2 separate regions of the Mus musculus genome follow, and region 1 is reported to be linked to region 2. Evidence: microRNA targets listed by miRTarBase, many of them from high-throughput screens and not tested one by one. Region 2 holds a microRNA gene; the other region holds the end of a gene's coding sequence.

What was found. The annotated mature microRNA mmu-miR-666-3p reads GGCUGCAGCGUGAUCGCCUGCU and lies in region 2 at 2,421-2,442, shown strand. An mRNA with a match to its seed (bases 2 to 7 or 8) in the 3' UTR can be bound and repressed. Matches are read on the target gene's strand: a 7mer-m8 pairs with bases 2 to 8, a 7mer-A1 pairs with bases 2 to 7 and ends in A, and an 8mer does both.
Region 1: the mRNA of Rhbdd1 is a reported target of mmu-miR-666-3p. Seed matches in the 3' UTR shown: 7mer-A1 at 1,291-1,297.

The regions. Positions count from the first base shown.
Region 1 is chr1:82,442,460-82,447,839 of GRCm38, forward strand. It overlaps Rhbdd1 (rhomboid domain containing 1), which reads left to right. Exons shown (of 7, transcript NM_029777.3): 7 at 404-2,907. The coding sequence ends at 495. Among named protein-coding and RNA genes, the nearest start is that of Gm46095, 73 kb to the left of the region's middle.
Region 2 is chr12:109,714,720-109,720,099 of GRCm38, forward strand. It overlaps Mir666 (microRNA 666), which reads left to right and starts at 2,366; the gene lies at 2,366-2,464. It overlaps Mir494 (microRNA 494), which reads left to right and starts at 599; the gene lies at 599-683. It overlaps Mir679 (microRNA 679), which reads left to right and starts at 858; the gene lies at 858-931. It overlaps Mir1193 (microRNA 1193), which reads left to right and starts at 952; the gene lies at 952-1,072. It also overlaps Mir543, Mir495 and Mir667.

The DNA of each region.
Region 1 (5,380 bases), not on the chromosome of region 2:
CAGTTTACAGGGAGGAAAGGGGAGGCCAGCCAGCATAGATAGGAGTCGGCTATGGAGGAGTTAGTTGAGTTGGTCGTTAAAAAAAAAAAAAAAATGAAAGCAGCCCTTAAGACACGATGGATATCATGGAGCATGGTAGAACAACAAAGTCAGCGTGGACTGAGACTGAATCAAGTTAAGCTCATGGACCGAACCACGCTAAAAACTTTTACTCTGTGTCGAAATTAGTATTAACAGCTAGAGTTGAAATCTCTGTGTTATGTGTCTTTTTAACGTTGTAATAAAGATGACACCAAAACAGCTGGTTTTCTCTTCTTGGTATCCTATGGAGCACAGCGCCTTGTAAATGTCAGAACAATGGATAGGCAGTGTGTCATTTCCCTTGTTTGCCTTCTCTTTGCAGGAAATACCAGAAATGGTCCAATGCCATATGGGTTCCGGCTCCCACCAGAAGAAATGAGGAGACAGCGTCTTCACAGATTTGATGGCCAGTGATATGGCACCATGCAGGGGAAGTCCAGCTGTGCGATTGGAGCCCGTTCACTTAACTCCCCAAGCCCCTAATTGGTTTTAAACAAAAGAAGAGCACAGGGTTACTGTTGCAGGTCACTCTTGTCTGCCATGAACAAGTACTCCATGGCCCCTGTGTGCCCAGATGCACAAGCCCAGCTGACATGTCCCAGGAAGCCCACAGCCTTCCCAGAGTGGCCTGTCTAGCCCCGTGATCGCTCCTAAACCAAAGGTCACCTCTTCAGATGGGACCAATTTCCACTTTTCTCCTTCCCTCCAGACTCAGTGGCTTATCCACACTGCGGTAAAGCCTGGGCCCTTAATAGGAAGTGGGTTCTTTATCTCACCAGGTGAGTGGATCAGCCCTCACTCTGCCTGGCATGCCAGGTTCTTGGCTTAGCAGGAGGGGCAGTGCTACCCCTGGTCCTCCCACCATGTTTCCATGGTGATGCGGGAAGAGGATGTGGCTACCTTCCCAGGGCGTTCCGTTCTCTTTCACGCAGGCTCCTCCGGGTGCTCAGGCTACCAAGTCTGCCTGATGTTCACATCTCCTGCCTTATTCCACATGTAGAATGTCTAACAGGAGGGGAATAAGAAAGATCTAAGGTAGGAAAAGAACCCAACTCACTCATTAGATATCATGTGGCACCAGCAATTTGGGTTCAGAGCCACCCCCTCCAGGAGTGGGCGACTTAACTGCTCCACAGAGCGGCAACAGGTGCCACACACACACAGAGCAAAGCCAACGTGTTGACTGGGGTTCTCACAGGGAATCCCCCTTGCAGCAAGTATTTTTTTTTCCTTCATGAAAGTGCCTTCTCATTGGCTACTCTGGCTGTAGTTGGTCATAAACAAGTGTGTGAAAAATGCCCCAGGGAAGTGCTGTGTCCGAGTCACTTAAGGCATTTCTGTTTCTTGTGTTCTGAGAATAAAAAGGCAAAGACAGGATGTTGCCACCTCCTCAGAGTCAGGGAGGATTTAGATCAAAGGGAGTTAGGAGCAACAAATGGTGTTCCTCCGACTCTTATGCACCCTCCCTGCATAGTTTCCAATGAGAATGGGTGTAGACAGGCTTTCCTATGCACAACGCACACACCTAGGATGGAATACTAAGTGGCGATACCCATCAGCTCTGGGGGACAGGCACATAGGACCTGACTTTCTTTGTTTACAGTTTTATATTCTATTTTTTTAAAGCGTGTGTGCAAGTGTCTGCTGCTTTCAGAAGATTACTTTATACAATGAATCAAGAAACATGTAGTCAGTAAAACAAACCCTAAGCTAAGTACTCTTTGTCCATTAAGAAAAATCATAGACTGGGCATGGTGGCACACATTTCTAATCCCAGCACTCAGGATTCAGAGGAAGGAGGATCTATGAGTTCAAAGCCAGCCTGGTCTACATATGGAGTTCTAAGCCAGCCAGAACACACACACACCCTTATACACCAAAACCCTGTCTCAAAAAAGAGGGAGGAAGAGTGGGGGGGGGAGAAGGAAGATGATGAAGGAAGGAAAGAAATCACAGTATTTAAATAAAGGTACAACTGCTCATTTTTAAAAGGCACTGGTGCCCAAGGCCAACATTTCAAGGCTATTAACATCTCAGTTTCTGCTGTATGCATTTGACACATCTGGTGCATGCCATCTGTGTAGCTCCATGCCCACTTGTTAATATGGACCCACCTGGAATGTCTGTAACCCGTGCATATGAATGGACTAAGCAAATCCATGGAGTCTAAGCATTCAGACAATGGTGCCTGAGCACCTTAGTTTAATTTGTAATTGGTGGAAAGCCACACCTAGTTGATATTATAAATTATGCCCATGAGCCTGGTACCTCCAAACACATTTAAATTATAATGGTCAAGGTAAATTATCCCTGGCTCTCAGGCTGCACATTTGCCTTCCATACCACAATGAGAAACAACCTTTTCTCTACTTGACACCTTTTGATAACACCTGGGAATTCTACCCTAACACTCTTATGTCACTATTCTTATTTGTGCATACCTGCACCAAGTCATGTCTGTGGTTCTGAGTGACCCTAGACCACGGCCTGTTACTGACCTTCAACCTTCCCAGTCTCCCTCCCTCCACACTCAAAAGGCTCAGTAACTGTTATTTTCCCACCAAAGTTATTATTCACTTGTTATTAGAATTCTGCTAGCTTGTACATGTAGCTTTAATGTAGTAACAGTACCTGGTTGCTTTGTTTGACTTGATGGTCAAAGACACTGAAAATCCCAATTTTGGATGGTGTAGTTATAAAATGCACTTTTTCTTTATTTATGGAGTGGGATGTCACCAAATGTTTATTACAGATGTGGGAAAAGTCATTTTAGGGATAAGTGAAAACCACATGTCTTCCAGAATAAAGATGGTCTGGAAATGATAATCAGTGTGTTGCTCGAGTCATGGGCTTGCCTATAGCCAGTGCTTAGTGTTTTCTGGGTCTGGAATTCTTTTTTTGTTTGTTTGTTTGCTATCACATTTTTGTTTTGTGTTTGCCCCATCCACCATAAGGAATGCTCAAAGTTATGTCAACAAACTGGAAGTGCTCTGAAAAAGAGTAGCAGAAGCGAATTGCTTCCAACAGGGAGTAAGCACCAAGAGCTGATTTTTAGACTTGGTTCTTTACCAGCAATCTTCCAACTGTCCTTTATTTCCAGTTCCCCCAGTTTGGTGCGGTCAGTCAGCCTCACAGATCTCTTCATTCAGCACCTCCCTGGCTCTCAAGAGGAAGGACCAGGTAAAACTGCGTCCTCTTGACGACTTTCCAGGCGTTGCCTGTGATTTGCAAAGTTGTTCATGAGAATGTCTGCTGCTGAGGCTGGAAGGAAGCCGTAAATGACTAGGCTTAGTAGTATCTGACCAGGGGAGTTGGCTGTGGAGTGACAGAGGTGACCCCAGCACATAGTCGACCTCTCTTAGGAGTCGGTGTTCAGGAAAGAAATGCATCAATTACTCGTAAGTATATCGTTCTATTCCTTCCCGTGGGTCACTGCAGAAATTTTCGAACCTAATTCTCACTGCCCCAACTTTTTTTTTTTTTGTCAGTATTTTAGAATCATAAACTCTAAGCTTGGAAGGACCTTGAAGTCTTTCGATTCATTGCTTTGTTCAATACTTAAAATACCTCTTCATTCAACTCCAACCACTGTTGCCAGTTGGGCTTCCAGAACCCATTTTAGAAATACCACTCATCATCCCGGATATCTTTTATTGTTTGTGTGTTGACAAATGGGAAAGGTCAGAGCCATTAACCTCAACCACTGGGCTTCCAGCCACCCTGGACCTCATCCCATTTATTCTTAACAGCCCTCGCACACCGGTCTCACCATCCAGGCTGTGAGTGCCTGGATGCTAGGGTCCTTTCAGTGTTGTGTAAGGAGCAGCATCTCCTCTCCTTCAGCCCTCTCTGTCCTCATGCCATCCTTTCCGGAGACAACCTTTCGGAGAGACCACGGCTCCCATCACAGACCTGCTGTTTTGGTTGGGTCTATGTCTCTTGGTATCCACGTGTGACTTGGAGATACTTGGTTGTGCCATGAGAGCACATTTTCCTTTCCAGGGCAGGAGCTGTGGCTGTAATCCTCTTGTCTGACCTCACTGGGCCTTCAGCAGTACTTTGAAATCTCTGAACCAGTAAATACTTAAGGGATGAAGTGGAAAGAACCTCATTCAAATCATGATGGGTAGTAAGGCAAACTGCTTCTCAAATGCATGAATGTGACCGTGCATTGCAATCATGTGTGTGTGTGTGTGTGTGTGTGTGTGTGTGTGTGTGTGTGTGTGTGTGTGTGTGTGTACAGGTGCCCAGAGAGACCAGAAGAGGGCATTTGATCCCCATGAGACTAGTGAGCTGCTCAACATGGATAATGTAAAACAAAAACAAATTCCAGTTTGGTTCATCTGTAAGTGAGCAGCCGGTGTCCTTGCCCCTTCTCCAGCCTCCAGTATCATCCCTTTATTTTTCAAGGCAAGGTCTCTCACCAAACCAGACACTCTGATGAGCATAGACTATCTAGCCAGAGTTCAGGGATCCACCTGTATTAGGATTAAGACATACAGGACTGCTCCAAGCTTGATCATACACAGGTGTTGGGGACCCAAACTAAGATCATCATTCCTGTGCCATAGGCACTTACCCATGCCTTACAGTACACACTTGCAGTTTGGATACGAAACGATCCTTGTGTTCATTGTCCCCCACTTCAGGCTGATGGGTGCAGGCTTGTGTTGCTGCTGAGAAGTGATGGGAATTTTCAGAGGTAGACCCTAGTTGGAGTAAGCCAGTCCAGGCATGTGCTTGGGGGCTGTATGCCTCAGCCAGGCTTGGTCTCTCTGGGTCTGTTTCTTATCCACCAGGAGGTGAGCCATCTCTGCTACCTCTCCCACTGTATGAGACTTCAGTTTATCCGTGTCCAGATACACTATAGTTTTATGTTTCTCTCAGGCATCCATCATAGCAATGAAAAGCTCATAGCACAGGGAGGCTACAAGTAACACTGACTTCATTATATAGCTCTACAGTCACCCTTCACACCCTGCAAATAACCTTGCAAGTAGGCAATCTCTTCTTGCTTAACTAACATAACAACTAAGGCCAATGGGAGGCTGAGACCCATACAGCCCAAGGCCTGTGGTTGATGCATCCCTCTTGCCCAAGGCCTGGTTTCATTTGCCCACCTAACACTAATAGAGAACTATGCTTCACAGATCCTGAGTCTTACTTTCCCCAGCCCTGACTGCCACCCCCCCCCCTTCTACAGATCATCTTGTTTTATCTCCTAAGCCAGTTCTAAGGGTAGACCACAGGGTAGATTTAAAGTAGGGAGTGGGGAGGTGCTTGGCTGATAGCTCTTTCA
Region 2 (5,380 bases):
CAGTTATGAAGTAACATTGAAAATAATTTTACAGTTGGGGATTACCCAACATGAGGAAGTATATTAAAGGGTCACAGCACTAGGAAGGTTGAGAACCACTCGACCAGGGGGTGGAACTGCCTGCCCCTGCCTGCTGCTTCTTTATACTACCACATGTGCTGGCACACATTTACCTTCCTACTAACTTTATAATGTGTCTGCTTTTAGAATCTTACCTTCCCTGGAAACTACCCAGACTCACAACCAGAGGGCTGGGTCGCTTCTCATCACCCACCTACCTCTTGGAACCAGAATCCGAGGCTCATTCCTGAACACCCCCAATGTACTGTACTTGTTGAAGTTGAGAGCTACTATTCCCCTGTTATCTCCTGAGGCACAATTTCTGGGGTCCCTGGTTCCCTTCAGTGACCCCCCCTAAACCTGGAGAGATAAGGAATGCAGGTGGTCTGTGTTGTTGGTAAATAGTCTCAGGCAATTCTGTGGACTGTCAAATTGCACAGGGGTTTTGGTTGCTCTCCAGGGCCCACAGAAGCAGACACTTCTGACAAGGCACCTGGCACTTTCCAGCTGCCTTTGTTTGCTTTCTGACCAGTGCTAATTGATACTTGAAGGAGAGGTTGTCCGTGTTGTCTTCTCTTTATTTATGATGAAACATACACGGGAAACCTCTTTTTTAGTATCAAATCCCACCCTGGGGGCACTCCCTGTCCCTGATGACGCCTTCAGGGAAGGGACCTGGACTGCTGTTCCCTGGACTCTGGGACATGGGACATGGGAGTATGGCATCAGGACTCAGCCCTGGAAGGAAAGTCATTTGAAGAAGGGACAGGGTCCCCGTGGTGGCCTGAGGCTACTCCCTATGGCTTTGGACTGTGAGGTGACTCTTGGTGTGTGATGGCTTTTCAGCAAGGTCCTCCTCACAGTAGCTATAAGGACGTGCCAGCATCGTGACTGAAGGGACAATGATGCCCACTGTTCTCGGGGTAGCTGTGTGGATGGTAGACCGGTGACGTACACTTCATTTATGCTGTAGGTCACCCGTTTTACTATCCACCAACACCCAGACCATCTGTGGGAAGACACCTTGGTGCACACGGCAGCTATGAAGAAGATGTTGGTGGGGTTGAGGCCAGCGTGAAACTAAAATATTTCAAGCAGAGTTAGCTTTTAAGGGGGATCCTTTTTCTGCTTGTGTGTGTACATATATGTGTTCAAGAGAGAGAGTGTGTGTGTGTGTGTGTGTGTGTGTGTTGGGGGGGGGCTACCATGGGCGTGACTTTCATTTTATGATCCTGTATCTTTGCAGTAAACAACGCCATCCTGGAGGATCCCCTGAATGTGAAGCTATATCCCAAGCTGGGGCACATTTCTCCTGGTGGGTGAGTGACAGGTCTCTCTAGCCCAGCATCAAGCCCACATCTGTCACTTATGGCATAGGCTTCGTTGTTCTTGCTCATCTCCATGTCTGTTCAATTTTGCTTGTCTTCTGAGGATTCAAATCATTGGCTGCTTCCCAGCACAAGTACCTGACTAGGAGATGTATTTCAGATATGACATCTCCTTAGGGAAGGACACCAGAGTCCTCATCAATGGAAAAGGTATGTCATGGTGTTCTGTCTGAAAGAATATATTATATTTTCATGTGTGTCCTTCTTTACTAATGCTGAGTATGCCTTCCATACCTAGGACGACCTCCTGATGTATTGCTACCCTGGGGGTGAAGGTGGCTTCCTTGCCCCTCCTCCAGGCTCCTGGCAAGTGGTTCTTGCAGCCATGGCAGAGACATAGAAAGTAAGTAGGAACTCTCCGACTGAGATTAGGAACTACTGTGATTCTGCTCATGTTTCATTGGTCAAGCCAATGAAGGGTGGGGAGGTGCCCTGTAGCCATGTCATGAGGGAGAGAACATGTGTACAAGCATAGGCAACCAACTATCTACCTGGAACACCTAAGAAGTCTATCTTTATTCATGTTCTTTTTTTTTTTTAATCTCAATGTTCCATTTCCCAGCAAGTGGAGGGTCAACAGAATCTGTTCTCAGAACACCACATGCCACTTACATATATTTTTGTCCAGGAGACATTGTCTCGTTCTGACAAAGGCTCAGATATCTTTTTGTTTCCCATTTCATGATAACCTCCTTGCATCAGGGCCTCCACCGTGGAACATAGGTTGATGTCCTCCCCTCTAGCAGATGGGTGGTGACCTCGACTGAGAGGTCACGGGACCCACCTCCTCTCTTGTCACGGATCCAGAGCTGGACTTTGGGAAGCAAAGTCAGGATTATTATATCATTCTCTGATGTTTGAGGAGACTCCAAAGACCTCCCCAAAGGATGACCAATCCAAAGCCTGTCTACAAGATCCTGATTCTGCCTGCGTGGAGCGGGCACAGCTGTGAGAGCCCCCTAGGTACAGCGGGGCTGCAGCGTGATCGCCTGCTCACGCACAGGAAGTGACGACAGCGGTACTCAAGCCACAGGAAGTGACGACAGCGGTACACAAGTGGTACACAGGGTTCCATGCTGCTGACGTACGGTGCTTAATGAGAAGTTGCCCGCGTGTTTTTCGCTTTATATGTGACGAAACATTCGCGGTGCACTTCTTTTTCAGCATCCTATTCTACGTTGAAGACTTCGGGGGTTCAACTACTTACTGACTTCAGGGAAGCCATGTTAGTCTAGGAAAGTAGTCTATGTAGTGAGCCTGGGTTGTGTGAGTTTATCTCCCTTCTTGAATGGTCCTCTGACCTTTCTTAATGAGAATGGGTTTGGGTTGGTTGGCTCCTGCTCCCTCCTCCCTCCTCCACAACACAGTGTCAAAGGAACCAGTTGACCAGACATTATTGATTCCTAGATGAGACCTTAGCCCACAGGGAGATGTTTGCTGAGACTTCTGGGAGGGGAATGAGTCTTCATTTCTGTGAGAGATGTCTGAGTGGATCTCACTGTTCCCTGAGTTTGAAGGCCAGCTAGAATTCAAGAGGACAGTACCCAGGGCTGTTTAGACAGAGGGGGAAGTGCCTGTCCCAGAGGAACCATGGGACATTTGAGTAACAGTACAATCTGGGACCTGCATCCGACACTCCTTGAAGCTCAACACGTCACTGTACCTTTAAGTTATATTAGCCTGGATGCCTCCTTTGTGTGTAAGTCAGCTTGAGGTGGGCCTTTCCTTACTATGAGAGGAATGGATGGCTCCTTGTTGAGTGGCCTGTCAATGAGTGTAACTGGCATTCTTTGGATGGTATGTTCTCTTGCTCATTATTCCCATTGTCCAGTCTAAGGTAGGTAGTTGGTACCAAGTCACTTTCCTTTGTGGTTCAGATATATTGCTGTAGTGTTGTAACCTTCCAGTAACGGTAACACACACTAATCAATGCGTTTTGTTTTCAGGGAAGGGTCGGTCATATGTCCCGTTCAGGACAGCCGCAAGATGATGAACGGACATTGCATCCCCAGACATCTCACACGCTCAGAATCCTGGAGCCTCCCATTTCAACCTGTTCTTCTGCTTCCCAGTACCCTGTGAGCTCTTTGTTGTATTTGTCTACATCGTAAGTCACTTCTGGGTGCGGGAGAGGGGGGACCTCAGAGGGCATCATCCAGGCACTCACACAGCTGGTTTAGGCTGCCCTGGATTTTGCCACCTAGTTCTTTGACTTTTTTTTTTTTTCTCAGCTTCAGAAGAGGATCCTGGAACTGAGAGAGGAGATTCTGTCTTGGAGTTTGGCACCATCCCATTTCCCCCGAGTGACACTTCAGAATGACTGGCAAGGATGGTAGGCAACATCTCAGAATCTTCAGTCTTCGTCCCAGGTCTTCCTGAGATCCTGAGGTAGAGGGGGTTTGGGCTGGATTGCTATGGCAGTGATGAGTACTGAGCCACTCCCCTTGCCTCAGGACCCCCATCCCTGTCCCCCTCCCGGCCAAGTATCTGCCTCACCCACCATCCCTTCCTTCCGCCTGTCCCTCAGCATCCCTTCACACTCAGGCACACTGCTGGAACAAGCAAGAGCTCAGCCGTGGTACCTGAAAAGAAGTTGCCCATGTTATTTTTCGCTTTTATTTGTGACGAAACAAACATGGTGCACTTCTTTTTCGATATCAAATCTCACCTTGGAGAGCTCCCCATGGACCAGAGGGAGGACGGGAGGCCAGGGGGTTTGGGTCACCATGTGCACAGGGGCATTTACCTCAAAGAAGCACAATTTCACCTGCCCCTCTTGGCTCTGTGCATTGTTAGGTCCAGAATGCCCACCTCCTGGGACAGGCACAGTCAGTAAGGGAAACCAGGAAGCGCACTTTTAGGCTCTGTTGTAGGATGGAGTTCAGATAAGAGAAGCCCAGAAAATTATAAAATCCAAACAATAGCAATTTAATCAAACAGCCAATACAAGCCAAACCACCAATTCCTTCTGGAGACATGTGTCTAGATGTCAGCTGCAGGTGTCTTTACCAAGATATGTCAGTTGGTGAGTGTCACATAACACTATGACTCTAGAAAAGCCTGGGCCCCAGATCAGCTCTTTACCAGCATCCTGCCATGTCTACGGGCTGTGCTCTTTGATGCCATTAGCAAGGCCTTGAGGACTGGTGGGTGCTGGCTACGATTGGGACCAGGGAACAGCAAGCTGTCATCAGCCACTGCTGCCTGTCTCTTATCTCTGATACTGGTACCCCTGCCCTCTGGAGTGGTAGATGTAAGGCGGCACTTCAGACCCCTTTTCCCTAGTGAACTTCTCTTTATGGCTAACATTCTCTGGTAGCCTCCTCATGGCATCAAAATTGCCTTTGAGTGTGGTTGTTTGAGCAGGGCCCTTTGGTGGCTCTCTTGTGAGAGTGGGAGGGAGGATACAATCCAGAGAGTATGAGAACACCTCATCCATCCATCTCCCCTGGAGGGTTTCCGAAGCTGAGCCAGTACAAGATATGGGATCACTCTTAGGCAACCCTTTGCTAGGATACTAGCTATTTCTTTCTTTGCTCAAGTTGGAATAAAAGCTTTGTTTATACTTACGTGGCTCAACAACCATAGCGCATCAAAACCCAGTGCAAACTCCATCTAAGAGGTACCAGGATTAGCCACACACTTAGCTCTTAGTTTCTACTGGCTCAGTGATGCCCTTGGGCTGTGGCTGTACCTGTGTTTTGGCTTCTGCCTATAAAAGATGGAAACACCTTTGGAAAAGCAGCAACTCTCCCTTTATACCCATGGAGAAAGGCTAAGGGGCATGGAACAAGCATGGTCAACCCATTTTCTTAGGTTGAAAATCCCTTTCCATCTAGTGGGTACTGGCCTCGGTGCTGGTGGAGCAGTGAGCACGCCATACATTATATCTGTGACACCTGCCACCCAGCCCAAGGCCCCTAGGCCCACAA